Elephas maximus indicus: one gene and its partners. The protein of the gene in region 1 interacts with the protein of each later gene in a biochemical or structural test. Links are inferred from orthologs where the notes say so. Each region holds a gene or a part of one and is shown in the gene's direction. Other genes may lie near its edges. The genes, in order: UBC, ZRANB1, UBR5 and USP30.

Region 1 (6,893 bases):
AGAAAGGATTCTATGGGAATAGTTCTTTGCTGTAATAATGAATTTCTCCCCTCTTCACATCCATTCTCTAATTTGACTTGACCTCATAGTGTTAATCATAAAAATGTCAAAACTTAGATCTGGAAGGTTCCTGAGCCCAAAGCCTTCATTTTTGAGATAAGGAAACTGAAATTCATGAAATGACTCACCAGTTAGGTGGTGGCGCATTGGTGACAGCTTGTGTCTAACAAGCTTCAGTAAAGGTTATTTCTCCCTAAATGTCAAAGTTCTGAAGGAACAAAACATTGAGGTGATTCCTAAGGCGATCAAGCCTAACACAAAACTAATCATATGCTTCTGGTTCACTTTGTATCTTGTACGTAACTGTTTCTAATAGTTAACTGAAAGGGAAAAAAAAATACCCTAAGAAGTTGGTGGTGGTAAAGTTTTGTTAGGAAATGGAGTTTTCTAGAAGAGTTGTTGAATCGTTGAGGAAAAAGAAGTTATTCAACTGTTAAATATTATCTTACATTTTAAAAAGCAAAGCCCAAATAGGTTCAATAACTTCCTGAAGTTCATAAGGTACTATTTGACAAATTTGGAGACTAAAATTTCAGTCTGATTTTCTGACTGGCGGGAGATAAAATTGGTCATTTTTAAGTTGAAAGAGTTTGTGGCCTGCCACACAATTCAAATGTACCTGTGTAAACAGGAAAATGACAAAATCCCATGGGCTTTATTTTATTTTTTTGCAAGTGTTCTAACCTGCAGATCTCCTTGACAACCTTTTTTGGTTATATAACCAATGACAAAGCAAGGCAAACTTTCCCCATCTAGCTCTCACATTTCCTCCTCTCTCTTGGGGGAAAAATGTTTGCTGACTGTTGCGTTCTCAGACAGTTTTAGGATGTTGAATCAAGTCACATACAGGGCTGTGACCTTCAGGGGATCTGAAACCTTTGGGGGAAAGGAAGAAAAGCAGACAAACGGGCACCAATCCAACTGCCCGCTCCCCACCCCCACCTTCAGGTGCAGCCAAACACCCTGGCCCTTTGTGAGCTCAGCCCATCACGTGCGCACATCTGCTAGCCAATCCTGCCCTGTTGCTGGGCTCCTGTCACTTTTCCATTGGTGCCAGCTCTGAAGCAATCTATTCTGGGATGCTTGCAAAGGATGGATCTGTGGGTGGAAAGAACTGGAAACAGATCCAATGACTAATCCTGCTTCTCGCACATTCTAGTACATTGCATTGTAGGTCAGGGGTTTTAGGTTTTAGGAACGTGACTTGATACCTGACTCCAGAGTCCAAGGGGGACATTCAGACTTTGGGCCTTGGTGGCCTTCTCAGCAAGTAGAAAAGCAGTTGTAACAACAAATCCTTCTGTAGAGCAGCGATTGTCAGTCTCAGCCCTGTTGACATTTTGGGCTGGATAATTATATGTTGTGGGAGGCTGTCCATTTTAGAATGTTTAGCAACATCCCTGGCCTCTCCCCACTAGATGCTGGTAGCATTCCATAACCCACAATTGTGACAATCAAAAATGTCTCTAGACATTGTCAAATGCCCCGTGGGGGACAATATTGCTCCTGGCTGAGGCCTACTGCTCTAGGAAACCACCCACCTCTTTAGGGAGGCCATTGCTGTCCCCTAAGCTCCTTCTCCCCAACTTCAGGGTCCTCAGGGAAATGTTTACTTCTTGTTTGTTTCAACGATAACCCACTCTCGGACTTAAAGTTAGGGAATACGGGGGTGTTTCAGAGATTTTTTCTGCTGGAGACAATAAGTACCCTCCCAACTAACAGGAACTTTATTTTCTTTGTGGAGGTAACCCTTGGCCTAATCCTTTCCTCCTCTTTCTTTTTTCCTCTTTGCCTTCTCTTCCTCCTCTTCTCTCTCCCCTGCCTCTGAAATCAGGGATGTTTTTCTCTGTACCTTTTGACTCTGAAGATAACCATGTCACATAGCTCGTGACTCAGCCTTTAAGCAACAAGAATTACAAGACTTGCAACAGCCAAAAGCAAACAGGGTGTGGTTTGAAGCAGGGCCTGGTCACCTTAGAAAGAATCTGTTTTTCGTTCCTTTAACCGAAATTTAAAGAGAAATAACCTCATAGCGAACCTCAACTTTTTGTTTCTTTAACGTCTCTTTCCAGAAATTTAGAGAGAAATAACCTTCACAGAACTCTGTATTGGAAGGCATTGAAAATGGCATTCCATTCTTTATAACTCATTTTTAATTTTCCAGTAACACATTACTTCATTGTCTTGGAAAAATGCTTAAAATTACAGAGGTTAAAATCTATTTTGAACAGCACTCAGATCTTTTGTGTTTTCATAAATACATACACAGGCAACCATAAAAAATATATATAGCATTTGTTTTGGTTTGATTAAAATTTTAAGTGTGTTTAAAAATAACATCTGTAACTTAAAACAGGAATGTATTCTATTCCTGATAGCAGAAAAATTTTTTCAGTCAGCTGGCTCTTCTGTCTCTTGACTTTTTTAAGGTTAGAAATTAAAATACGCACATTTGTAGATGCAGGGAGTATTTCTAGAAGAATCCAGATGGAACGGTGGCCAGACAATTGAGGGGAAAGAGGTAGATTTCACTGTGAACTTATAAAAACCTGTTCTGAATTCTCACCGTGTTAATATATTTTAAAACAGTTAAAAAATAAGCTGAAGAAGTGACATAGAGATCATAAAAATAAAAATCTGGGCTGGTGATCGTTTTTCTTCTCTTGTATAAAAATGGAATTTGCCTGTGGAAGTAAATTTCATACTCTGGATATTTAAATTTTTTTTCCCAAAAATATACAAGGCTGAGACTCAATTGGTGTCAAATTTTAAAATGAGTCCTAACTGCGTTCGATTTCTGAGCTGAACTGAACATCAACAGAAGTGAAATTTCGAACGCCTCTTGTTTACAGTGAAGTGCAACCTTTACAAAAACCCAAGGCCCCAGCGAATAAACAGGAAGCTAAAGAACAGCCTAGAAATTTCTGTGTGTCAGCTTTCAATTCCAGCGCAAATAATTAAAAAAAAACTGTGGGATTTCCTTTCTTTTTCCTAATTCAATCCAGGCACGCACATTCATTTCTCCATTGGAAAACTGTTTCGTTTGTTTTTGAAGATTTCCTGTCCTTAGGACCAGACTTTAGTTGAGGCCTGGATTTTGGCCTTGGCCTTTGTCCTGGCCCAGAGGCTGGGCCGCAAATCTGAGATTTGTCGAGTCATTCGCCTTGTCCCCGTGCCAGCTCCGTGGGGGGTGGGCAGGGCCGCCTCAGCAGGGGTGCTGGGAACCCAGGGGACCCTCACGACAGGCCTTGGTGGTGGGGGGACACAGTGAAACAAACACTATAATTATTTCAAATGTGAACCAAAATAACGACCCCTGGCTTCGGATGGGGGCGGGGCGCGCCAGAGGGGAGGCGGACCCAGACTGAGGCGCTCGGCCCGAACCTGTCGCCCGCCAAGAGCTGGTGTCGCCAACGGCGGGGACGGTTGCTGTGGGGAGGGGGGGCGTCGGGGTCGGGCTACCGGCCACGGAGGCCCACCCGCTCCGGACACCCAGGCGGCTCCGCGCCGGGTTTTCGCGCCGCCGCGAGCCGCCCCCACCCGGCACCCGCTCCCTCTCCCTTCCCCCAAGGCGTGATGCGGTCACGTTCGGTCGCAGCGCACTGTGTACGCGCTGATTCCTCCGCCAGGCCCCTCGGGACGGTGATCCGCTGCCCACCCGACCCAGCCCGAAAGCCCCAGTCTTGACAGGAGAGCATTTTATGAGGGGACTTGGATGAGTTTGGGGTCTAGTTTTCTTTCTAGGTTGCCAAAGGGGCTGGGTAAAATAGTTCCTTCTCGGCGTTTCTGCGGAGGAATCTCCCTGGGGCGGAGGCCTGCTATGACTATATAAAGAAGCGCCGGGTGTGGTGCAGGGACGTCCGTCGAGGTCGGTGTTCGTTTCTGTTTCTCTTTGCGTTCTCTGTTTCCACAGCCGCTTGGTGAGTAGGATCCTGCTATGCTGGCCCGGGAGCCTCGGGGCCGTCCGGCTGCGAGGGGTGGGGGACAGACAGTGCTGCTCGCTGCGGGCGAAGGGCAGCCGGGGCTTTTAGTCTCCTGGGTCCTGCAGCAGGGTGGCCGTGAGGGGGACGAACGCCGCAAAATGGCGGTCGCTTCTGACTGAAAGGTCGGAGAGAGGAAACTGAGGGAGGGAAGGTTGTGAGGGGAGAGAAGCGCCAGGCCGCCCCCAGGGCTCAGCGGAGGGAGAGCGAAGCTCAGGTGGGCGTGAGCTTAGGCTTCTGTCGGGCGGGCTTGGGCAGGGGAACCTGACGTTGGCGTCTGAGTTTTGGGGAGTGACTGGGAGTAAAGGCCGGGTTGCCGGCCGCCGTGGCCGTGGCCAGCTCTGCACCTCAGCCCCCGCCGGAGAGGGAGCCCGCGGCCGCAGCGCTGGAGCGTGACGTCACCCGCTCTGTTCGGCGCACAGTCTGGGGTGGGGCCGCCTGCCCGTAAATGTGTGGGGGAGCTTTGTGGCAGTCACGGGGCGACGCAGAGTGTGGGCCTGGGGGAGCCCCTGCTGAATCGACGGGGGACAGACGTTCTGGCGGGGGAGGCTGCCGAGTTTCTACGGTCAGGGTGCCTGCCAGCCTGCCTTCGTGAGGGGCTAAAATCTGGGGTTTCAGGTGATTTGTCATATCTGTTAGGTTTGTCACTGGTTATATCGTGAAGTTTTTTGGGAGAGAATTGTTTTGTTTTTTTTGGTCTAGTAAAAAATTGTTATTTTTTGGGTTAGGAACGTAGTGACGTTTGAATTACCTGCTAAAGTTTTGGGTCCTTTGTTTCTTTCTGTTCTCAGACAATGCAGATCTTTGTGAAAACCTTAACGGGTAAAACCATCACCCTTGAGGTAGAGCCCAGTGACACCATCGAGAATGTCAAGGCAAAGATCCAAGACAAGGAAGGCATCCCTCCTGACCAGCAGAGGCTCATCTTTGCCGGGAAACAGCTGGAAGACGGACGTACCCTGTCTGACTACAACATCCAGAAGGAGTCCACTCTGCACCTGGTTCTCCGTCTGAGAGGGGGAATGCAGATCTTCGTGAAGACCTTGACCGGTAAGACCATTACCCTTGAAGTAGAGCCCAGCGACACCATTGAGAATGTCAAGGCAAAGATCCAAGACAAGGAAGGCATCCCTCCTGACCAGCAGAGGCTGATCTTTGCCGGGAAACAGCTGGAAGATGGACGTACTTTGTCTGACTACAACATCCAGAAGGAGTCCACTCTGCACCTGGTTCTCCGTCTGAGAGGGGGAATGCAGATCTTCGTGAAGACCTTGACCGGTAAGACCATCACCCTTGAAGTAGAGCCCAGCGACACCATTGAGAATGTCAAGGCAAAGATCCAAGACAAGGAAGGCATCCCTCCTGACCAGCAGAGGTTGATCTTTGCCGGGAAACAGCTGGAAGACGGACGTACCCTGTCTGACTACAACATCCAGAAGGAGTCCACTCTGCACCTGGTTCTCCGTCTGAGAGGGGGAATGCAGATCTTCGTGAAGACCTTGACCGGTAAGACCATCACCCTTGAGGTAGAGCCCAGCGACACCATTGAGAATGTCAAGGCAAAGATCCAAGACAAGGAAGGCATCCCTCCTGACCAGCAGAGGCTGATTTTTGCCGGGAAACAGCTGGAAGATGGACGTACTTTGTCTGACTACAACATCCAGAAGGAGTCCACTCTGCACCTGGTTCTCCGTCTGAGAGGGGGAATGCAGATCTTCGTGAAGACCTTGACCGGTAAGACCATCACCCTTGAGGTAGAGCCCAGTGACACCATCGAGAATGTCAAGGCAAAGATCCAAGACAAGGAAGGCATCCCTCCTGACCAGCAGAGGCTGATCTTTGCCGGGAAACAGTTGGAAGACGGACGTACCCTGTCTGACTACAACATCCAGAAAGAGTCCACTCTGCACCTGGTCCTCCGTCTGAGAGGGGGAATGCAGATCTTCGTGAAGACCTTGACTGGGAAGACCATTACCCTTGAGGTAGAGCCCAGCGACACCATTGAGAATGTCAAGGCAAAGATCCAAGACAAGGAAGGCATCCCTCCTGACCAGCAGAGATTGATCTTTGCTGGGAAACAGCTGGAAGATGGACGTACCCTGTCAGACTACAACATCCAGAAGGAATCCACTCTGCACTTGGTACTTCGGCTCAGAGGTGGAATGCAGATCTTTGTGAAGACCTTGACTGGTAAGACAATCACCCTTGAAGTAGAGCCCAGCGACACCATTGAGAATGTCAAGGCAAAGATCCAAGACAAGGAAGGCATCCCTCCTGACCAGCAGAGGTTGATCTTTGCCGGGAAACAGCTGGAAGATGGACGTACCCTGTCTGACTACAACATCCAGAAAGAGTCCACTCTGCACCTGGTCCTCCGTCTGAGAGGGGGAATGCAGATCTTCGTGAAGACCTTGACTGGGAAGACCATTACCCTTGAGGTAGAGCCCAGCGACACCATCGAGAATGTCAAGGCAAAGATCCAAGACAAGGAAGGCATCCCTCCTGACCAGCAGAGGTTGATCTTTGCCGGGAAACAGCTGGAAGATGGACGTACTCTGTCTGACTACAACATCCAGAAAGAGTCCACTCTGCATCTGGTCCTGCGCTTGAGGGGAGGTGTTTAAGTTGTTCCCCCTTTTCTCTTAAGCTTTCAAGAAATTTCATTGCACTTTTCTTTGAATAAAGTTGTTGCATTCCAAAATACTGTTCTTTATTTTTAGTGCTAAGTCACGTTCCTTTGGGGCTTGGTTGGGGAATTAAGGTTTACGGTTTTTGAAGTGTTCAAGTGGGAACCTTGAGGAGGTGAGATGTTGGCCTTGAAACATGACCTCAATACATAAATTAAGTGGATGG
Region 2 (7,422 bases), on another chromosome or scaffold:
CTTTTCTCGTTGCTGAGAAAGGGCTCCCTTGCTTGCCAAGACAAATCACTGTGCTTTGATTACCTCCCTCCTGGGTTTCAGTAATTTTTTTCCTTCTCTACCTTCTCTCCTCTGTTGACGAAAGTTCTCAGATATTCCTGTTCTTAAAAATAAATACTTGAAAGAGAACAGAACCCTTCCCTCGTTCTTGCTTCTCCTGTGTCTAACATCTTTTGCTTCCTTTCATTGCTGAATGTCTTGGACTGGTAGTCTATAATCACTGCTTTAGTACCCACACATGCCTTCAGCTTTTGAAATTTGGCTTCTCTCCCTGCCATCCTACTGAGAAATTGTTCTCTAAAAGGTCACAAAGTCTCTTGTTTGTCAAATCCAGTGAACTTTTCTCTGTTTTAATTCCTCTAAGTTTGTAGAATCTGACATTGTTTGCCATGTTCCCTAGGCTTGGAATTTGACATTGTTGATTACCATGTCCTTTAGTCTCACACCTGAGGTCCAGGATGCCGTTGATTACCTGGTTCATCTCCTGTCTTTTGTACTACTCTTTTTTTCTCCTTGGATAGTTCTTCTTTTCCTTTCCTACTCCTGGCTTAAGTGGTAACTTGTGCATAGCTAACTCCCTGATGTTTATCTCCAGCTTTAGCCATCACATTTCAGGCCAGCATTTCCCCTGCCTGCTGCACATTTCCCTCTGAGTGATGGGCCAGGATCTCCACATACCTGATCCAGTAGACAGCATCTCCTATCTAGTTCCTCTTTCTCTTCATGTTTCCCACTGTTAATGGCACCGTTCACATTCAGAGGTCTCTGACTTTTGATTCTTTCTTCTGGCCCCAATTCAGGTACTGGCAAGCCTTGAACATCCACACTCTTTCACCTCTGTCCCTTCCTTCCCATCCCCACAGCTACTTTGGCTTAGGTCCTTGTCTCCTAATTGGTTTCTCTATTTCCCTATTCTGTTTTTACCCTCTTTTGTCCCACAGACATTCCAGATTAAGATATAGCTCTAATATTGGTGTTTCCATTTCTATTAATGGAATTAAGTACAGATCCACAATTTTGCATTGAAGTATTCGCAGTCAGTCAGAAAATGTAAAGTATAATGGTATCTTCTAAAGGTAGTTTGGGAAACAGCTGAAATAAAAGACAGAACTAAATGTCAACAAAATTATACTGTCCCTACACTTCGGTAGAGGTTCTCAGAAAAAGACTTAAAAACTGGATATGTTTTTCCAAATGAATTTTTTTTATAACTCATTGAGAAAGGTGGTTCAATCTCTATGAGAAACAGCAGGATCAGTTCCTTAACTATGACAATGCTATCTGCTGTTGTGTTAGATATGAAGCGCTGCTCTAACAGAAATAGCACAAGTGGATGGCTTTAACAAACAGAAGTTTATTTCCTCAGTTTAGGCGGCTAGAAGTCAGAATTCAGGGCACTAACTCCCAGGGAAGGCTTTCTCTCTCTGTCAGTTCTGGGGATAGGTCCTTGTCATCGATCTTCCCCTGGTGTAGGAGCTTCTCAGCACAGGGACCCTGGGTCCAAATGAGACGAGACGCACTCTACTCTCAGCGCTTCTTGGTTGGTGGTAATGTGGTCCCTCTCCTCTCTGCTTGATTCTTTTATATCTCAAAAGAGGTTGACTCAAGATACAACCTAATCTTGTAGATTAAGTCTTGCCTCGTTAACATAACTGCCTCTAATCCTGCCTCATTAATATCGTAGAGGTTAGGATTTACAACACATGGGATAACCACATCAGATCACAAAATGGTGGACCATCACACAACACTGGGAATCATGGCCTAGCCAAGTTGACCTACATTTTTGGGGGACACAATTCAATCCACAAATGCTGTATTTGTTCACATCTTTTTAACAGATATGGTGTTATGGGAAGAACATTTGATTGGGGAATCAAGAACTCTGGGTTCTAATTCCATACGTAGTTGGTCTGGCTTTTGACAACTCTCTTAATTTAGGCACTACTTTGCACATCTGCAATACATGGAGGGTGGTGGGCGAGTAGGACAACATAAGTAGTTCTCAATTCTGGCTGTACATTGTAGCCACATGGTACGTAAAACATACCCATGTCCAGTCCCTCCTCTTAGAGACGGTTTCAATAGGTCTGGTGTTGGGCCCCAACATTCGTATTTTTAAGAAACTCCTCAAGGTATTCTGATGTGTAGCCAAGGCTGAGAACCACTGGACTGATATTAAGAGTCTTTTCAGCTTGAACAATTCATAAAATACCACCTTCTTTATTAGAGCCATTTTTTGTATTTGCTCTTCCTCTCAGTTACATGATAATTTTCATTTGAATTTACATGGTGCTTTGCACATTCTGCCTTATATAATGATAACTATGGTTGTTTTTGTCTTCTTTCCTATGTCTGTTTCCTCAAACACAGAACGTGTCTTACTCATCTTTGTGGGCTTCCTGTTCCTTGGCACATGGTAGGTACTTATTATGCTAGGTAAACTACAATTCAAACTAAACAAGAACAAACACCTAATTTGGTGACGTGTCTACTTATTAACTTGGAGGTAGATGCTCTTTATCCTTGATTCAAGAAGCGGGAACTGGAGGTACTCAGAGGCCCTCAATGGAGATATTTTCAAGTGAAATATTGGTTGAAGCATTGTGATGAAATATTGGTTGAACCATTCTTCTTGCATAATGACTTAGTGATTTTATATCTAATTGTTAGTTACATATTCAAGAATGTGGGTTAAGTTTTACAACAGACGAGATTGTTGTAGTTCAAACTCAATGTATTGAAGAGCCATTAAGCAAAGTATTTTGCTGTTATGTACTTCAGATTTGACCACGATGAAGAGGATTATGGAAAATCTGTCACAGGAATGGCTGTGAAGATAAAATATACCAATGGTTATGAAATGTTGGTGAGAGGAAGCTATAAAGGGTTCTTAATTGCCATAGTGAAGCTGTACATACATCCTTTAACATATCTATGCAAAGAGAAACTCAGAACACCAGGGATAATTTTACTCGATAAATCCCCATCTAATTTTTAAAAATCTGAGTAAATGCTGAATAACACTGTCTCCTAGTGAAGCTGAGGTGTCCAAATGTGACTGCTAAATGCCCTTTGAAAGTGCTATAGCTTTTCTTCATCAGATAACTTGAAAGAGATTTACAACTCTTAAAGAGTTCCTGTGTTTTATGGGCTTCCGAATTCTTCATAGAAATAAAATTTGAAGTATGAGAAATGAAAGGTGACACCTCAATGGGAAAAACTAAGCTCTCTGGCTAGAAAAAAATTGACTCATGGAATTTTAACAGATAGCTGACTCATTTAGACTATTTTTACGGTAAAAAAGAAATATACAAAATATATCGCCATATAATATATTCTATTTAGAATCTGGGCTTTGGGGACTCTCAGGGCAGTATTTTTTCCATGGCTGTCATTTATCCTCGGCCTTAAGGAATATCTCCAATTTACAGAAAAGGCAGCCATGAGAAAGTTGTATTTACCCAACATTAGGACCAGCATATGGCGGAGGAGAGCGAGAACCCAGGGTCTCCATAGCTTTTCCTCATATATTTATGTATATATGTAATATAGGTGTATATGGAGATAAATACATATACACAAAATATGTACAAATTAGATATATAAAAATTACACTATCACAAACAACCAAAACGTTTGTCTTCTGTGGTGTCTTATCGAGAAACTGCATATGAAGAGGTTAAGCAGAACAGAAAGTTCCTCAGGAGACGTGAGACTTGGGCGGTAAAAGTTTGGTGAATTTGTTTGCAGAAGAGAAGGGGAAGAGTTCGAAGAAAGACAAGTGCGCCTCGAGACGCCCGCCCCACAAGGTGCTGTGAGGCGCCGTCGGTCTCCGTTTGCCTCCGCGGGGCGTCCTCCACCTCGGCCAGCGCGCGCTACCCTCATCTCCGCGGTTGCCGCCCAGGGGCCGCGATGTGGGGGCGCGCGCCGCAGCCTCACAATCCGGGCCCGGCGCCGGCGTGATGTCACGCCTCTGCGGCCCTCCTTCTGCGTCCGGAAAGAGGCGGCCTCCCATTGGCTGCGTCGCCGGCGGCCTCGGGCCAATGGCAGGGCGGCAAGCGGCGGGGTCGGCCCTGACGTCTGCCGCTCGCCGCGGGGTTTATTTGGCTCCGGGTCCCCTCTGTCGCCGCCATTAAGAGCCCGCAGCGCCCGTGGCCGCCCCCCCCTCTCTCCCCCCTCCCCCCGGCGCCCCCCCGCCTGCGCGCCTCCTCTCCGCCCCTCTCCCCCCGCCTCCGGCAGCCCGGAGCCGCGCGCCGCCCGCGGAGACCATGTCCTGACTGAGGGGAGAGGGCGGAGGCGGCAGCAGCGGGGCGGGCGGCGGCACGGAGGGAGGCGGAGAGGGGCCGGGCTCCGCTCGTCGCCGCGGGCGGCTCGGGGAGTCGCCGCCGCCACCGGGCGCCGAGCGTCGGACAGGGAGGAGGAGCAGGAGCTGGAGGAGGAGCCGCCGCCGCCACCAGGTAACCGGGCCCAGGAGGGGCGCCCCGCCGCAGGCCCCCGCGGCCTGACCGGCCTCCCGCTCCCAGGTGGGCCCAGGCCGCGGGGTCTCTCGGCCGCCCGCCCGCCCGCCCGCCCGGCGCCCCCCGGGGCGGCGGCGTTGCAGGCGACGGCGGGGAGCGGGGGCCTGCCGCGCAAACCCCGTCGGGCCCGGGTCTGCCGCCGGCCGGGCTTCCATCTTTTGGGCTTTCCCGGGGCGAGGAGAGGTCGGGGGCTCCGGGAGGGCGGGCCCGCTTGTTTACCAACGATCGATCAGCCGCAGCTGGACGCGTTGCCGGCCCTGCCACCGTCTTCCGCCGGATTTTCCCCCAACTTCTCTTCCTGCCTGATCCGAGTCTGTGATGGGGTTTCGCTCCCGCTCTGCAATAGGCCATAAATACTTGGGTTCATCGCCACAAGTTGGTGCTGGCCTCCAAACTTGGATTTCAGTCTCTTGGCCGCTTCCTCTCTGTCTCCTGCGGTGGCCCCAGTTGTTGCCATTTCTGTCTAAGAAATCAAGGTCGGGGGGCAAAGGTTGGGGGAGAGGAGAAAGAGCTGGAACTGTGGACAGATGATCTGCCCGCCTCGCTCTCGGTAACTCTCGTTCGGTGCAAGTAGCTGTTGTTTTCTGTGGGGCTTGCGTGGGTCATTTCATAGACAAAAGGACTGTAATGAATACTTGCACTAAGTACAAGGGACTGGCAGTTTAGGTTAAACCTGGAAGTTGGAACTGGCCCACTATCTTTGAGGTTCACTGATGTTTTCTTAACTCTTGCTGAGAATTTTGAGTTTCAGTCTCACTCCCTTTGTCCATAAGTCTGCAGACTTTCAGGTTAAAGGCTGCTCTCCCCAGTATTTTGGTCTGTTTGTTCACCGTATGATCCACGGTATTGTCATTATAAATCTGATGTACAAAAATGTTGTTTTAGAGCCACAGCTGAAGAGACACCTTTAACTTCCGGAAATACTCCGTAAGGAGTGCTTCTGGTACTTGTAGGTCTCCCTTTTTTAGACGGTGTCCTAATCACTCGTGCAACCTCGAGGTACCTCTGTTTTGATCAAACATAGATGACTCAGTGAGTAACCCATAAGCCAGGGAAAACCATAAGGAATTTTGATCTTGGCTTGCGCCAAGGGCTGAGAGCACGTCATCTAAGATGTGTTTGTGAAAAATAAAACTGGATCTCTCTTCTTGGTTGTTATTTTTAATTAAATTAGGTAGTTCTGAACACATTTAGAACTCTGCTCCCCTGTTGATTTTTGGGTCTTATGACAAGGTGTGCAGTTTCCTTCTTACTATAAAAGTGCATCACGTTGTTTTTATTGGGCTATTAGGAGGGGGCTAAAACTAGTAAGACGGTAATGACACATTTTCATCTTTTGGGAAGGCTGTCATTTGAATGTCATGAAAGATTTTTATTTCTGTTGCTCATGTTTGAGCACCTTTTATTACAGCCTTAGAGTATTGGGACACCCGTTTATTTACTCTTGAAATGAACTCGGGTTAGTATGAAGAACTCATTCATGATATAATATGTGTTAAGCTCACGGCCTTGATCCAGACCTGTACACTGATGGGGTTCTGGCACAGCCCGTTTAAAGTCTGAGGGTTAACAGAGCTTTGGAACTCAGGGTCCAGTGGTACAACGTTTGAGGTAAGTTGCTTCATGTGCGTAATTGATAGAGTGAGAGCTTCTCCAGGTGCTTTATACTTATACTACTTTTATAATAAATGTAAATAAACAAGAGTTGTAGACCACCATAATTTTTTATTTAACTTCTTGGGTCACTTTTACTATTTAAGCATTGCTGCTCACACCCACCCCCACCCCAATAATATCCTTTTGTACCTGGCCTAGAACACTTTTTTCCATTGATGTGATGTTTTATTAGGAATATTTGTGCTCCACTTATTCTTCGCATAAAATAGTGTCTTGCACATTTTAATATTGTCCCCTCCTCACATCACGGTATAAAGACTTCCAGAAAACTCCTTATTACATGGAAAATAAAGCTCAGTTTCCCCGGCATGGTCAAGATCCTCCAGAATCTAGCCCTGATCAGTGCTTCAGTCTTAATGCCATTTCTCCCCTTGGTGGATCCTTGGTTTGTTTTTCCTGTGAAGTCTCTCCCCTCAGCTTTTCTTTATGCTGTTCTGTCTGTTTGGAATCGTCTTCCTCTTGTATTCATGGATACTCTCTGTACTCTGAGCCCAGGTAGGGCCTGTCTCTTGAGGAGCCTTTTTAACTACTTCAACCCCAAGGGATCTACTGTTCCCTCCTCTGTTGTGCAGGATGGTTTTCTTCCTTCTTGTCCTAGCACTGCTAGCCTGGATTTCAGTTGCTTTTATTGTTTTTATTCTGCTTCCCAATTGGACTTTTAAGACTTGAGAAATGGGTTTGAGCCCTGTGCCTTGTGTGTATGGGGAGCATATATTCAGCTCTGACAATTTGGACTCGTGCTCTGACAGTGACCGGTGATGGTTATAGTGGTATTCTAGGATATAGACTTTGTACTCCTCCAAGTATTGGAGTTTCTGGGACTGTGACAATTTCTGAGACAAAAATATTTGAAATTATGGCTGTCTTTGAAAAAACAAAATACTTGATTAGCATGTTTATGCCTATTGCCAACATGGTTCCCAGCCTGTAGAGGATGGTCAGCATTTTGATAATGATCTCATCTTATTTAAATAAAAATAAGTACCGTAATTCTGTGGTTTACTTCGGATTTGAGTCTGGGGCAGTTACTTGGGTTCATTTGAGATCGGCACCAGTGACAGCAAGGGGGACCATTTCCTACTTGTATATAGGTAACGTTTAGCATCACATGAAGGAGAAATCACCTGTAGCTTCAGTTTGGATCCTTAACTTCGGATGTTGGCAGCATGTGTCATTGATCATAAGG
Region 3 (7,504 bases), on another chromosome or scaffold:
CTTTTATTGGCTTTTCTCTCTTCCTTGTTTCCACTCCCATACAGTGCTTCCTGGGATCATCTTCTGAATAAACTACTTATAGTCAAACCCTTGTCTCAAGGTCTGCTTTTTGGGAAACCAAATCTAAGACTTGGCCTATTTCAGGGGTGTAGCCCTTCAGGGTCTCAGCACAGAATAAGAGGCCCTGCATATCAATCGTTGTTGTTTTAGTCCGGAGCATTTGTCAAGTGTTCAGACTCTTGGCTTTTCAGCCTGTCTCTCTAGAACTGGCATTCATCTTTAGAAGAAAAAGTGGCTCCAAACATAGGACTCACTTCCCTGGGTCTCATTCTTCCTTTGGATCCTGGCTTGGGAAGTCATCATTATTTTGTTAGCTCTCTTTTTCTTTAAGCAGATTTAAAGAAATATTTTGTACAACTTTTCTAGTTGTCCTCAGAGGGAGGATTAATTCAAAGGACTAGTAAGTCCCCAGCCTCCTTTTGTAGCCTTATATTTTGGGAGCCCTGGTAGCACTGCCATTAAGAGTTTGGCTGCTAGCCAAATGGTTGACAGTTTGAATCCACCAGCCTCTCCTTGGAAACCCTATGGGCCAGTTCTACTCTGTCCTATAGGGTTGCTATCAGTTGGAATCGACTCTACGGCAATAGGCTTTGTTTTGTTTTTGGTATTACGCTTTGAGTCTTCACAGAGATTGTTTTTCTTGAGTCCTGCTTATTTCTATTTCTCTATCTCCATTTCCCCCACCACTCCACCCATGCATCCTATTGGCTTTCACAACTCCATGACTTTGTTCTTCTTTTTCCCGGTTCAGAATATGACCCACCAAAGTATCAGCCCTGGAAGAAGAGGATTGTTGCAAACATGCCAGTCTGGGACCACAAAAAGGTAGCAATGCCAAGATGGTCGTGAGTCAGAGATCAAGTAGGCAGTTCGAAAGGGCTGCCAAGAAAGTATGTCACAGTTCTAGGAAACTCCCATTGCTGTCAAGTCAATTCCAACTCACAGGGACCGTATAGGACAGAGCAGAATTGCCCCACAAGGTTTCCAAGGCTGTAATCTTTACAGAAGCAGATTGTCACAGCTTTCTCCTGTGGAATAGCTGGTGGTTTGAATCACTGGCCTTCTGGTTAGCAGCTGAGTGCTTAACCACCGCACCACCAGGGCTCCTTGAAGAAACTGTCATTGTTGTTGTTAGGTGCTGTTGCGTTGGTTCCGACTATAGCAAGCCTATGTATAACAGAACAAAATACTGCTGGGTCCTGTGCCATCTTCATAATCATTGTTATTATTGAGCCTATTGTTGCAGCCACTGTGTCAATTCATCTCCTTCAGAGCCTTCCTCTTTTTCTCTGACTCTCCACTTTACCAAACATGATGTACTTCTCCAGGGACTGGTCTCTTTTGATAACATGTCCAAAGTATGTGAGATGAAAGTCTTGCCATCCTTGCTTCTAAGAAGCATTCTGGTTGTACTTCTTCCAAGACAGATTTGTTCATTCTTCTGGCAGTCCATGGTATATTCAATATTCTTTGCCAAAGGCAGGCCGTATTTCAAAGGCGTCAATTCTTCTTCTTCGGTCTTCCTTACTCATTGTCTTGCTTTCACATGCATATGAGGTGATTGAAAACACCTTGGCTTGGGTCAGGAGCACGTTAGTCCTTAAAGGAAACTAACTGAACTGAAACCTTTGCTGTCAAGTTGATTCTGACTCATAGAGACCCCATAGGACAGTGTAGACTGCCCCACAGGATTTCCCAGGAGTGGCTGGTGATTTGAACTGCCGATCTTTTGGTTAGCAGCCAAGTTCTTAACCACTGGAAACTAGGAGTGGGTAAATCAGGTCAAAAGGAGGGTGGAGGCAAAATAAAAAGATGAAGGACAGATTTGGAAAAAAAGAGAAATAAGGCACGGTATGGGCAAAGTATGGAGTTGGTTCAGGGACAAATCTAAAAGGATCGGATTTAAGCTACGTAATCTATTTGCCCAGAACATTCTTGAAGGCTCAGCTTAAATGATTTTGAATTCTTTTCACTGGAATCACTTTCTCCTTTAACTTCCATAGTACTTTTATTGCATTTATCATATCACATCTTTTTCAACTGGCTTTAAATAGTCTGTTCCTTCTAAATTATTAACTACTTAATAGCAGCTGTGGTATAGTAGAAAGAGCAACTGAATCAGAGTCAGAAGACCTGGGTATAAGTCTCAACTTTAGGACTTATCATCTATGTCATCGTGGGCAAGTTATTGAAGGTGTCTGGCTCTCAGTATTCTCATCCACAAAATGGGGATAATACCATTTACCACCCTAAGGCAATCTGATACATATAAAAGGTATATAAAATGGTACAAAGTGAGCATTCAACAAATAAAATCTTTTATCTGCTGAGCTTACTATGTGTTATGAACTGCTCTAGGTGTCCAATATGTACGCCATCACAATTCTTTGCAGCTCTATTAATACATTAAATAAAATAACATAACATTTTACAAATGAGAAGGAAAAAAAGCTACAATCGGTTAAATAACTTACCCAAGATAATAATGTTAGTTAAATAGCAGAACCAGTACTCAAATCCAGGTCTGTTTCTAAAACCAACAGTCTCCACTGGGCCACCTTGTCTCCCCACGGCTCACATGGACTTCTAATACATACCAAAAACCAAATCTGTTGCCATCAAGTCAATTCTGACTCACAGCAACCCTACAGGACAGAGTAGAACTGCCTCAACAGGGTTTCCAAGGAATGCCTGGTGGATCTCAACTGCCGACCTTTTGGTTAGCAGCCCTAGCTCTTAACCACTGTGCCACCAGGGTTTCTAACACACAGTAGCCTTGAAGTCACTTTTAATCTAAGCTAATCTGGGCCGATGTTGGAGCAAGGGACCTACAAAAGTGTTCCCTTGTTTGTCTCAAAGGCTACCTAGTCTATTCTGATTTATAAACAAATTTTCATATACTTTGCACAAGGAAATTTCCTAAGCAAGAGTGTGTGTGTGTGCAATGCATTAACAGGAAAAGCGATATTTTATTCTTAACATTTTACAGGACCCCTGATTTAACTAACATTCACACAGACTGGTTAAGAGGTATGTCAGGGAAGAAGGAACTGTTTTCAGTTTTTGCCATTAAGTTTTAGAGTTCCTCAGAAGTACTTGAGTTTTTAAAAAGATCATAGAAACCTTGGGAAGAAAGCTATGATTTGGCTTTCCAAGAAAAAAAGCTGATAAATCCATTCAAGTACTTCCAGTTATGATCCCACTGATGACAAGCTGAGGAACTTCTTTGTAGAAAAGATATACCATCTTTCACTTTAAAGCAATAATAAAAAAATGATGAATCATTTAGATCAGTAAATTATTTTGTGTCCACGTTTTCTCTTTGTGGCGGTATGGGATGGTGGTGGTGTTGGGGGACATTACGGAGACCAGAGTTGCAAAAGAACTGCAAAGTCAGTTCCCTGATCCTACTATCACCTTCAGGTAAGGCCCTTACATAAATACCTTACTTCTCCAATAAAATAAAAGGCTGTTTATTTCTTGCCCTTTATCTGATACTACACTTTCACTTTAAGTACAAACGCGGATGAAAGAGAAACAACAAAACACCCCGAAGGATCGGCAAAATAATTCGGGTTGCCCCAGGGAAATCAGGGAGAGAGAAGAGAAGAGCCCCCCTCCCTTCCCACCTCCCTCGGGACACACTTACCCTCCCTCCCGAACTCCCCACCAGCCCCGGCGGGGCCGCCCCTGCGCCTCCTCCTTCCCTAACACGTGCTCCCCGGAACACTCACTCCGAGCTAGCCCACCCCCCGCGGAGGGCTGGGCTCGGGCGCCGACCAGCCCAATCCTCACGCGCCTTACAGCGCCGTGGCCCGACAACGTTGAGCCGCCCAATCGAGAGGGCCTCACCGCCCGTTTCCCGGAGCCCCGCCCCTCCGCAGCCGTGCCCCCGCCCGCCGGTCTCCGCCCTCCTCCTCCTCCCGTTCGCCCCGCCCCCGCCGCTCCGGAGCGGAGCCTGCGAGACGGAGAAACTGGGGCAGAAGTGAAGATGGCGGCGGCGGTGCTGGTGGCGGCGGCGGCGGCTTCTCGCCAGTGACGCGCGGTGCGGGCTCAGCTCCCTCCCCACCTCCCCCAGTCCGGACCCCGTCTGCCGCCGGGACCACACCGACCCCGCAGCCCGCCCCTCTCCCCCTCCCCAGTCGCCCCTTTCCCGACGCCCGGCTGCCGCTGGCGGCGGCGGCGGTGCCGCGGCTCGGGTCCCGGCCGCCGGCCTCGCACTCTTTGGTGCTGTCGCCGGGGGAGCGGGTGGCGTGTTGATCCGCCCTCCTGCCCGCCCCGCCGAGTCGCCGGGCCGCCGACACACGCCCGGCAGGGAGGCGGCGGCGGCCCCTGCGCATTTGCTTCCCTCCATCTGGGGACTAGGAGGCGGCGACGGCGGCAGTGGGTTTTGGGGAGGGGAAGGGGTCTCGGGGGGTGGGCGAGCGCCGGAGGGGGCAGTCCTCGGGAGGAGGACGAGAAGGAAGCACCATGACGTCCATCCATTTCGTGGTTCACCCGCTGCCGGGCACCGAGGACCAGCTCAATGACAGGTAATAGGGCCGGCGGGCGGGCGGGCGGGGGGAGGGGCGCCCTCCCCTCCCCCACGGGGCCGCGCCGGACGGGCGCCGGTGTTTACGCGCAGTCCGCCCGCCGGGGGGGTCCTCCCGGCCCCGAGCTAGGCCCCTTCCGGGCCAAACTTCTTGTCCAGTAGGATGCGGGGGGCGCGCGGTGTAGACGGGGGCCGCGGTGTAGACGGGAGAGCGCACCGCAGCCCCCGCCCTGAGCGGCCCCGTTGAACTCGGCGGAGATGGGGGGCTCCAGCTCTCGGGGTTGGGGGGGCGGGCTGTAATTACCTCCCGGCCCAGGCCCTAGGAATCCATATTAGTCAAAGTTGAATTGAGACAGACAATGCGGATGGGGGATGGTGGAGGTAAAAAGAGAGGGAAGAGGAGAAGCGCGGCGAGGGGGCCGGGGCAGGGCTGGGCTGGCTCGCCCCGGCTCCCGGGAGCTGGGTCCGGAGAGCTGGACCGGAGCTGCCAGTCCTGGGAGATCCCGGGGGGAGAAGCCGATTCCCGGCATTCGCGGGGGAGGGAGGGCGGCGAGGGAGGGAGGAAGCGCCATGATTATTGTTATTATTATTGAATTTGAGCCCCTGCAGTGAGGCTTGCCTGCCCGGGGAGGGGATGAATTCAGGCGGGCGTCGCGGGGCGGATTGCCTTTGCTCTCCCTGTCTTGAAACGGTACTGGCAGTTCATCCTTCCAGCCCCTGTGGTGCGAGCTTTTTTTGTTCCCCTTTTTATTCTAATGATAGTGTTTTCCTGAGTTGTAATTTGACAGCTGAAAACCGTGCGTAGAGTCAAAGGAAAACTCCTAGCGTTTGCAGCTCGCAATGCTGCTCTTCTTAACACGCTGTAAATTTCTAGGATGAGTTTGCTGTGGGCAGAGGAGGAATTATGATATGTATTTTTTTTTGTCTTTCATAAGAAGGCTGTTTTAGCCATGGATTCCTCCCCTTCCCTCCTCCACCGTTCCCGGCCAGTTTAGGATATTGAATTGCAGGGCCGCATGCTCACAGGGAACTGAGATAAAGCAGGAAAAGTTCCTTTACTGTTGCAAAACAGACTCAGGAGGTCGAGGGAGGCCTCCATTAAAGCATGTCTTTGAATCTAGGACTCAGATCGAATGATGGGCTAAATGTTTACAGGATCAGAAGGTAGGGCATTTAAGCCTCCCTCTCCCCCAATACTACTCTGTGTATTTCTTGTGAGTGTAATAGGCCGTCTGGTCCCAAGTTTAGAAGTTAGGTATAATTTTTGCTAAGTGACCTGGTGACATAAGTTGCATGACGCCCTGTTTGTCATGCGCTTCCTGGAGGGAGGAAGAGGCCTAACTTGCTGCTAAAATATTGGCCTTTCTTGATGTGTATAACCGCCTCAGGTCGGCCGGGCAACTTTTAAGTCCAGAAAACTGGAGGCTTGGTTTTAGCACTGGGTTGGATTTGTGTAATCTTTGCTGTAGCCATACTGTATTTAACATGCTTGTGAAACTTTTGGAGTACTTTTTGAAAATGTTAACCATTTTAAGTTGTCACATAGTTCCTTTAAATATGGAAATAACCTTCAAGTTATTTATTTTAACATTTTGTTATCTGATCCTTTGAGTTTATTTAGTGATGTTTTTAAGACTTCAACATAAGATTCTTTGTAAATTTAGAAGTAATTTTCTTTAGATTCAGGCTGGTAGTGAGGATAGCTCTACTGTCATTTATAGAACCAAGTGAGTAGTACTTGTCCTGTAACTTAGAAAATTGCACCAGGGAGGAGAGAACTAGGTCATGTTTTCTATATTAAACCCAATTTTCTGTTATGTATCAGGAATCCTGACTAGCTTACTCACTTGGCTGTGCACGCCAAAACCTATAGTACAATTGTATTGGGCACCTGGTTTATTTTTGAGCATTCCTTTTGCTTCAGCTGTCTTGAGAAATTTACATGTATCTTTCTTACAGATGCCTTTTTTTCCTCCAATATGAGTGTAAACAGTCAGCTTTGATTTTGATTCCTATAGTGTCAAGATACAATATTAAGAATGTTGAGACCATCTTGAATTTTTAATTCCATGAAATAAGGAAAAAAGACAAGTGTATTTGATTTAGGTTATAAAATCTGTGCATTAATATGACAGATACTTGAGTAAATAGAAACGTGCTGTAGGTAGAAATTTAGGTACTTGTATCTAGTAGCTGTAAAAATGTCAAGATTCGTTTTGTAAAGGCAGCATTTGAGACAGTCATGCAACTTAAGTTTTGGAATAGTAGATTTGTGCTGGGAGCTGTTGTGTCTGCCCTTCAAAAGAAAAGATCTGTTTTGCATGCCTCATGGCAGAGTTGCACAAGATCAACCTATTGCTTGAGAAAAATGCTTCCATTCATGATTGGTTTTTCTGGACCCTTTTAATGATCCAGAACGAGCAGCCCAGAAGATCTTCATCTTCAGATAAAAACTTAATCAAAGCTTATTAAGTTCTGGTAATAGAAAAGAGTGTGCTACTGTAGCTTGATTTTTGTAAGATATGTGTCTTTTGTGATAGTCATAAACTAAATGATAAATGATAGTTTTGGATGAAAAATTATAAATAGGTAGACTTTGTTCTTTACCTGAAAAGCAGTAAGATTGATGAGGCAGTATGGTACTGTAAATAAATTGCCCAGTTAAAGAAAACTGTTGAGCTGAAACCACCACCAATATTTTCTTCTCCAAATAAATTTTCTTTCTTTAAATACATACATTCTGTTAAAAGTCAAACATTTTGTTCAGTGTAATAGTCTGATGTCTTAAACATCTAAAATGTACCCAGCACAAAGAAAAACACCTGATATTTTTTCTTAATGTGTGTTCCCAAACTTCCTAATTTTATGATAGTCTGCACATACTAGGTTAAAAATCTTTAATTATTGTCCCTT
Region 4 (7,713 bases), about 14 Mb from region 1:
ACTATCTAGTTAGTGATTTCCCCTCTCCTCCCTGGTAACCATCAAAGATTGTTTTTTTCTGTGTGCAAACATTCTCTTGAGTTTTTATAATAGCAGTCTTGTACAACATTTGTCCTTTTGTGTTTGACTTATTTCACTCAGGATAATTCCCTCCAGGTTTATGTACAAAGGTCTTATTCTTTTTCCAGAGCAGACACTAAGGCTCAAAGCTGAGGACAAAGGGCACTGAGTGCTATAAATTCTAAATTGAGAGAGGTGGCAGCTAGAGCCTATCTTTGAGGCCACTCTTCTCTCGGGGCTTACTGAGAAGGGCAATGTCATGGATTGAGTTATGTTCCCCCAAAAATGTGTGTATCAACTTGGTTAGGCCATGATTCCCAGTATTGTGTGGTTGTCCTCCATTTTTATGATTGTTAATTTTATGTTGAGAGGATTAGGGTGAGATTGTAACACCACCCTTACTCAGATCCAATGTAAAGGGAGTTTCCCTGGGGTGTGGCCTGCACCGCCTTTTATCTCTCAAGAGATAAAAGGAAAGGAAAGCAAGCAGAGAATTGGGGACCTCATACCACCAAGAAAGCAGCACCAGGAGCAGAGCATGTCCTTTGGACCTGGAGTCCCTGTGCCTGAGAAGCTCCTCGACCAGGGGAAGATTGGTGACAAGGAACCTTCCTCCAGAGCCAACAAAGAGAGAAAGCCTTCCCCTGGAGCCGACGCCCTGAATTTGGACTTGTAACCTACTAGACTGTGAGAGAATAAACTTCTCTTTTTTAAAGCCATCCACTTGTGGTATTTGTTATGGCAGCACTAGATGACTAAGACAAGCAAGAACGAGGCTGAGCCCACTTTCCCCTAGTCAATTAAAGGGGAGATCTGTGGGTTGGAAAATGCCTTTGGGTGAGTGTGGTGTTTGAGAATAGGGGTGCCCCAGTTTCCACTAATGATTCACCTGAATCTCCCCAAAGAAAGGGAGAAAATAGCCTCTCCTTCGAAGTCTACGCCTAGTTCTAAAGACTTCCCAGATAATGGAAAGCAATGTTCCTATCTGGTAGGACAATATGGGAGAATAATAACTATTTTTAGTATTAAAAAGACACCTAAGGGGATCATTCTTGTGGCTTTGTCTGACATTGTGATCACAATCTCTGAGATCTTTCTTCTGAGACATGGGAGAGCCTAACCAAAAAAACCAAACCCATTGCCATCAAGTCAATTCCAACTCACAGCAACCCTACAGGACAGAGTAGAACTGCCCGATAGGGTTTCCAAGGAGTGCCTGGTGGATTCAAACTGCTGGCCTTTTGGTTAGCAGCCGTAGCTCTTAACCACTATGCCACCAGGGTTTCCAAGAGGCCAGAAAAGAAAGCGGATGGAGAAGGTATGGAGAGCTAGCCTCGCTTCTGCCTCCAGGCCACGCTCTTCTCTTGGTCAGGGTGGAGAAAACTTTTGAATTGGGTTTGAGGTTTAAATTTTGAAATAAAAACGACAAACAGATAGTGGCGACGGTTGTATAACACGGTAAAGGTAATTTTGTGAATTGTGCATGTAAAAATGGCAAATGTTACATACTCTACCACAATAATCAGACAGTAATTTAAATACCAAAATGAGATAGCTCTCTAAAAGTAGTTGCAAAGGAGGAGTTCCAGCTGAATCCAGATAGGGGCAGCTGAAGAATGCTACTTCAGGTTTTTATCCCAAGGACTTGAGCCTCTGGATAAACCCTTTGCCGGCAGGATAATCACAACAGCCAAGAGATTTCGGTTGTTGTTGTTAGGTTCCAATTCATAGTGACCCTATGTACAACAGAAGGAGACAGTGCCCGGTCCTGCACAATCGTTGTTATGCTTGAGCCCACTGCCGTAGCCACTGTGTCAGTACATCTCGTTGGGTGTCTTCCTCTTTTTCGCTGACGCTTTTCTTTACCACGCATGATGTCCCTCTCCAGGGACTGATCCCTAGTGACCCTGTTATCTCCCAAGATGCCACAGATCCTGGATCTGCCTGATGGATGTCAGAGTGGGCCCTGCTGGTTACTTGCTGTGGCATTATTGTCATAAATTAGTAATACGCCCCCTATTTATAAGAACATCTATTAGTCAACGACAGCAGCACCTCCCTTGTTAGAAGAGGAGTAAGAGCCAGGCGGCAGGGACATTGTTAGCTTTGTGAGATGTGGAGTGCTGTTACTACTCACACGGTCATTGCAAGAATAAACGAGATACAGCATGTAAAGTGCTCAAAAACATCTGTGAATTGATTGACTACGGATGCTCTACAAATGCCAATTATTTAAAAGAGCCTGGAACTTAGAGGTCTGAGCAGATTTGCTGATGGGTGGCAGGTTATTCCCAGGTCAGGCTAAAGCAGTGGTTCTCAAAGTGGGGTTTGCAGCCACACCTAAGACTTTTTCAGGGGGCCTTTGAGGTTAAAACTGTTTTCATAATAATACTGAGACATTATTTTGCCTTTCCCACTCTCATTCTCTTGTGAGCATACACCGGAGTTTTCCAGAAGCTATGCAATGTGTGACAACATTGTTGCTCTGATAACTAATGGAATGTATGTTTAGGTATTCTTGGGTTTTAAATATTTTAGTTTTGATCAGTGGTTGCCAGAGACTGGGACTGGGTGGAAAGGTTAACTACAAAGGGACAGGAAGTCATTTTTGTGGGTTGATGATTCTATCTTGATTGTGGTGGTGGTTTCATGACTGTGTACATTTGTCAAAACTCATAGAACTCTAAAGTAAAAATGAGTGTATTTTACTGTGTAAATTGTACCTCAATTAAAAAGCCAAAAATTAGTTCTCAATTTTAATTTCTAGTAGAATAAATATAAATATAACCCAATAAACAAAAGCTCTCAATAATTTTTAAGCATACAAAAATTGTTTCTCAATTTTAATTTCTAGTGGAATATAATCTAATAAGTAAAGCTCTCAATAATTTTTAAGCATACATAGTAGTCCTGAGACCAAAAATTTTGAACTGAAGGATTCTTTTTTCACTAAAGCAGTTAAAATTACTGATTCTGGAATTGGGAAACTGATCTAAAAGGAGGGTAAATTCTCTCTGGCCCTAATGCTTCAAAAGTATGGTGTCCACTGGCTACTAGTATTTATTGAGCATATAAAAAGTAACTAATCCAAATTGAGATGTACTTAATATGAAAGATTGTCATTATTAACAGTTTTTATAGAGAAATGATAATATTTTTTATACATTGGGTTAAGTAAAATATATTATAAAAATCAAGTTCACCAAATACCTAATGGCATTTGGATCCTAGGTTTGGAGGTTTAGGGTCATGGTTTCATGGGGCACCCTAGTTAATTGGCCTAATAATGTGTTTAGTGCTTCTGTTCTACCTCCTAGTTTCTTGTGTCGTACCTGGGGTCTTAAAAGCTTGCAAGCAACCATCCAAGGCATAACAATTGGTCTCTATCTGCCTCCATCAACAGACGATGAATAAGAGTTGAGAATAGGAGGAAGATATGGAATGTGTGGCAAACTGCCTCCATGAACAACTGCCTCCTTTGCCATGAGACCAGGAGAACTGGATGGTTGCCTGGCTACCATTACTGAGCATTTTGATCAAATATTCTATAGGAGAACCCTGATTGAAAGGGGGGACAGGCAGAACACAATTTCAAATTCTCGTCGACTCTAGACTTTCTGGAGCCACGGAGGCTGCATGAACCCCTGAAAATATTGCAGAGACAATCTTTAAAAACCTTAAACCAAAAATATCTCCTTAAGTCTTCTTAAAACCAAACAATACTTTAGCTTAACTTGTAAAAAATGTCTGCCTTGAGCATTGTGCTCTTTTAACTATCTAAATGAGATCAAATTGAAAACAGCAACTCCAAAGATTAGCTAGGAACCATAGTCAGAGTTTATGCTAACGGGGGACGAACAACTCAGATAAGGAGGGTGAGAATGGTTGCATAATTCAGAATATAATCAATGTCACTGAATTGGACATGTAGCAACAGCTGAACTGGTCCGTTTTGCTGTGTATAGTCTCAACAATACAAATAAATTAAAAAAAAAATCAAGTTCACCTGCTTTTTCCTTTTTTTTTAAACATGGCTACCAGAAAATTTTAAATTACATATGTGGCTCCTGTTATGTTTCTATCGGACGGAACTATCCTGGAGACACAGATCGGTCCATCTGAATTGCACACCTTACAAGCTGTGTCAAAAGTTATACTTCTTGGGTTTTTTCGGATGTAAAATACGGGTAATGTTTAGGATAGTGTTAAGATTAAATGTGAATAATACGTGCGATGCACTTTGCAATGCACCAGGCACCTAAGCAAACAGTAAGTTAGGTGGCTGTTATGACTAAAAGCCTCGGTTTCCGTACTGGTGACGTCAAAGTTGGACCACATTTTATCAAAGGTCCTTCCTTGGAGACCTATTTCCTCTCTGACGACAGTAACAACTAATGGTAGCCTGGGCCTGACCCCCACTTTCGGGCGGGGGCCGCCCTCTCCACACTGGCAAATTCCAACCAGGACCCACAGTCCCGCCCGGGAGCGGGGCATCTGTACGGATGGACGGAGCCCAGGGCAAAACCTGGAAAATCAACAACCCGGAAGCGCCCCCCACAGTAAAAAAAAAAAACAGCGGTAGCCCTTCGCTAACACAGAAGGAAGGACGTGGTCCGCCGGTTATTGCTCTCCGGTGGAGGCTACTTCCGGCCCCATCCGGGCGCCTGTCCCCTCGGCCTACCCTCCCCCCAAGGAGCTGGGCGTGTTTGGTCGCGGGTTCCGCCGCCTCGGAGCGTTCAGAGCCCTGGGTCCGGCCGCGGCGGCGGGGGCGGTGGCGGCGGCGGCGGAGTCTCCGGCGCAGCGGCTATGCTGAGCCCCCGGGCCGAGGCGGCGATGACGGCGGCCGACAGGGCTCTCCAGCGCTTCCTGCGGGCCGGGGCGGTGCTCAGGTGAGCTGTGGGGGGCGGGGCGGCCGCGGAGACCCGGCCGGAGGCGGCCTTTTTACGCTTTGGTCGGGGCTCCCGGGGCCCGAGGGGTCACTCTGGAAGCTTCTACGGCCGGGAGGGGCGACGGGCCTCTCAGGGATTCCAGTGTTTTCGGCAACACCGTTTCTGTCTGCACTCTCCAATTCTGCCAGCGCCCCCCAGTTTTGTTAGTGCGTTCCCCCACCTGCTAGTGCCCCCCAGCCCTGTGGGGGTGCCCAGGATTGCGTAATCTCCCCCATCTTGTCAAGGCACCGAATTCTGTCAATGTTCATTGTTGTCTCAGTGCCTCCCAGGCCTGCCAGGGCCCCCCGAATTTTCTAGGAATACCTCGATCCTTCTGGGCCCCCCGATCATGCCAGTATGTGGACCCGCCAGGGTCCCCTTATCTTTGTGGGCTCTCCAATCTTTCCAGAAGTCCCACAGTCTTGTTTGTGCCCCTCGGTCAGCTAAGGCTCCCCAGTCTTGGCAGGATCCCTTATTCTTGCCAGGGCCCCAAAATCTTTCCAGGATTTCCCCAATCCTTCCACCTTGCCAGGGCCTCCCGATATTATCATACTTTCTCATCCTTCCAGGGTTTCCTCAGTCCTTACGGCTGTCCCCTCCCGCATCAAAACCTCATTTATCAGAACCTCATTCTGCCAGAGAACCCCAATTTTGTCTGGGCTCACAATCTTATCAGTGACTCCCTTTACTTGCAAGGATTTCTTAACCAACGTGGCCTCCTTAAACTGTTAAAAGGCTGCCCCAGTCCTGTTGAGATTCCCCCATTCCTGCCAGGCCTGCCAGTCTGGGTCCCCAGTTCCATCAGGATCACAACCCTGCCCGAGCTCCCATCTCCTTTTCTTATCCACTCTTCCACGTGCTCCAGGCTTCGGAGCTAAGCACTGCAGCCCCCGTACTGACCCTAATTGACTGAAACCTGTTCCTCAGATCAGCTTCTGTCCTCTCAAACTGGAGCACATCTAAAGAGCCATTATCCCAGGGCTGGAAGCAAGCCCTCAATGGCTATTCTGTTCAGTGTCCCCATTCCATAGATGGAATTTGGGCCTTGAGACGGCCTTGCCTGTGGTCTCACTACTGAACTGATAGCAGAGCCGGGAGGAGAAGCCAGATCTCACACCCAGGCCCCACTACCCTTCTTGACTTGCCATTTTGCAGAGGAATGAAGTTTCCAAAGTCTGTCATTTGCCCTGATTTTTTGTGCATGCCCTGCTAAACCAAACCAAAAAAACCAAACCCAGTGCCGTCGAGTCACTTCCAACTCATAGCGACCCTATAGAACAAAGTAGAACTGTCCCATAGAGTTTCCAAGGAGCGCCTGGTGGATTTGAACTGCCAAACCTTTGGTTAGCAGCCATAGCACTTAACCACTACGCCACCAGGCATGCCCTGCTAACCACCTGTTACCATTTGGTGTTAAGTCAGTTCTGACTTACGGTGACCGCATGTGTGTCAGAGTAGAACTGTGCTCCATAGGATTTTCAGTGGCTGATTTTTCAGAAATAGATTGCCAGGCCTTTCTCCTGAGGCACCTCCTGGTGGACTCGAACTCCAGCCTTTCAGTTAGCAGCCAAGCACATTAACCATTTGTACCACCCAGAGATTTAGGGCAGATCCTCTGTCCCGTCCCTTTGTTACTCTGTCCTTCAGTTGCCGTCATGAGCATTGTGGTTTTAAGCACAGCCTGGGGAGCCCATCTGGGATGGGTTCACATCCTGGCTGCCTGACTCACTGACCAGGTGGCCACATCCCTTTGTGTCCTCATCTATAAAAATGGGGATGAAAATAAAATCTGCCTCTGGGGTTGCTTTGAGAATGAGACGAGATTATCACAGTGCCTCAAAACCTGTTGCTGTTGAGCCGATTCTGACTCACGGTGACCCTGTCTGTGTCTGAGTAGAACTGGACCCCGTGTGATTTTCAATGGCTGTTATCTTACAAAGTAGATCGCCAGGCCTTTCTTCGGCAGCACCATTGGTTAGATTGAACCGCTAACCTTTTCAGTTAGTAGCTGAGCACAAACTGTTCGTGCCATCCAGGGACCTTATGCACTGAAATATTAGTGTTTGATTCAGGGACATGAAGAACACTTGTAAAGAGTTTTAGCATTTCTGATAGTCTTTTTTAACCTTCCCAGGCACTCTTGTGAATGTAAGTCAGCACAGTGATGCATTAAGAAACTTCTGAGGTTATACACCCACTCCTCACTTTTCGACATGGGTAGGTTCCAAAGACCAGGTTGTCATGTGAAAATCAGCATTGTGCAAAAATGGAGAATGACTACATCAGATCACAAAACAGAGGATGACTACGTCATTACATAGCTGTCAGTCCCCCCAGTCTGGGTCCCCAGTTTTATCAGGATCTCCCAGTCCTGCCAGAGCTCCCATCTCCTTTTCTTATCTACCCTCCACATAACAGTCAAACCGCTGAGAATCATGGCCCAGCCAAGTTGACACATAACCTTCACCATCACAGCTAGCGTTACTCTCTCCTTGCACTTGGCGTTCGTTAGTGCCAGACCTACGTCATTAATGTGCAAAATAATTGGATAGTAGATTTTTTTACTATTATAAGTGCGAAATGTCAGATAAGGAGATAGGTGATAAGTGAGGAGTAGGTGTAATACTTAATAGTAGTGGCTACATTTAGTAAGCTTTTACTATATGACCTATACGTCGTTGTTGTTCGTTGCCATTGAGTTGATTCTCACTCAGAGTGACCCCAT

The links.
Region 2: of the proteins of UBC (region 1) and ZRANB1, one has a biochemical effect on the other in vitro, tested with the Homo sapiens proteins (10 studies listed by BioGRID and IntAct, with this or other methods). The link is inferred for Elephas maximus indicus from reciprocal best matches to the Homo sapiens genes UBC and ZRANB1.
Region 3: the proteins of UBC (region 1) and UBR5 form a complex in vitro, tested with the Homo sapiens proteins (7 studies listed by BioGRID, with this or other methods). The link is inferred for Elephas maximus indicus from reciprocal best matches to the Homo sapiens genes UBC and UBR5.
Region 4: of the proteins of UBC (region 1) and USP30, one has a biochemical effect on the other in vitro, tested with the Homo sapiens proteins (5 studies listed by BioGRID, with this or other methods). The link is inferred for Elephas maximus indicus from reciprocal best matches to the Homo sapiens genes UBC and USP30.

The regions. Positions count from the first base shown.
Region 1 is NC_064840.1:5,697,770-5,704,662, forward strand, and holds UBC (polyubiquitin-C), read left to right. Parts: upstream 1-3,872; 5' UTR 3,873-3,980; intron 3,981-4,831; 5' UTR 4,832-4,834; coding exon 4,835-6,664; 3' UTR 6,665-6,743; downstream 6,744-6,893.
Region 2 is NC_064834.1:74,981,275-74,988,696, forward strand, and holds the start of ZRANB1 (ubiquitin thioesterase ZRANB1), read left to right. Parts: upstream 1-4,415; 5' UTR 4,416-4,499; intron 4,500-7,422. UniProt on the Homo sapiens protein: Ubiquitin thioesterase, which specifically hydrolyzes 'Lys-29'-linked and 'Lys-33'-linked diubiquitin. Also cleaves 'Lys-63'-linked chains, but with 40-fold less efficiency compared to 'Lys-29'-linked ones.
Region 3 is NC_064833.1:39,566,292-39,573,795, forward strand, and holds the start of UBR5 (E3 ubiquitin-protein ligase UBR5), read left to right. Parts: upstream 1-4,483; 5' UTR 4,484-4,530; coding exon 4,531-4,592; intron 4,593-7,504. UniProt on the Homo sapiens protein: E3 ubiquitin-protein ligase involved in different protein quality control pathways in the cytoplasm and nucleus. Mainly acts as a ubiquitin chain elongator that extends pre-ubiquitinated substrates.
Region 4 is NC_064840.1:19,533,302-19,541,014, forward strand, and holds the start of USP30 (ubiquitin carboxyl-terminal hydrolase 30), read left to right. Parts: upstream 1-4,700; 5' UTR 4,701-4,866; coding exon 4,867-4,949; intron 4,950-7,713. UniProt on the Homo sapiens protein: Deubiquitinating enzyme tethered to the mitochondrial outer membrane that acts as a key inhibitor of mitophagy by counteracting the action of parkin (PRKN): hydrolyzes ubiquitin attached by parkin on target proteins, such as RHOT1/MIRO1 and TOMM20, thereby blocking parkin's ability to drive mitophagy.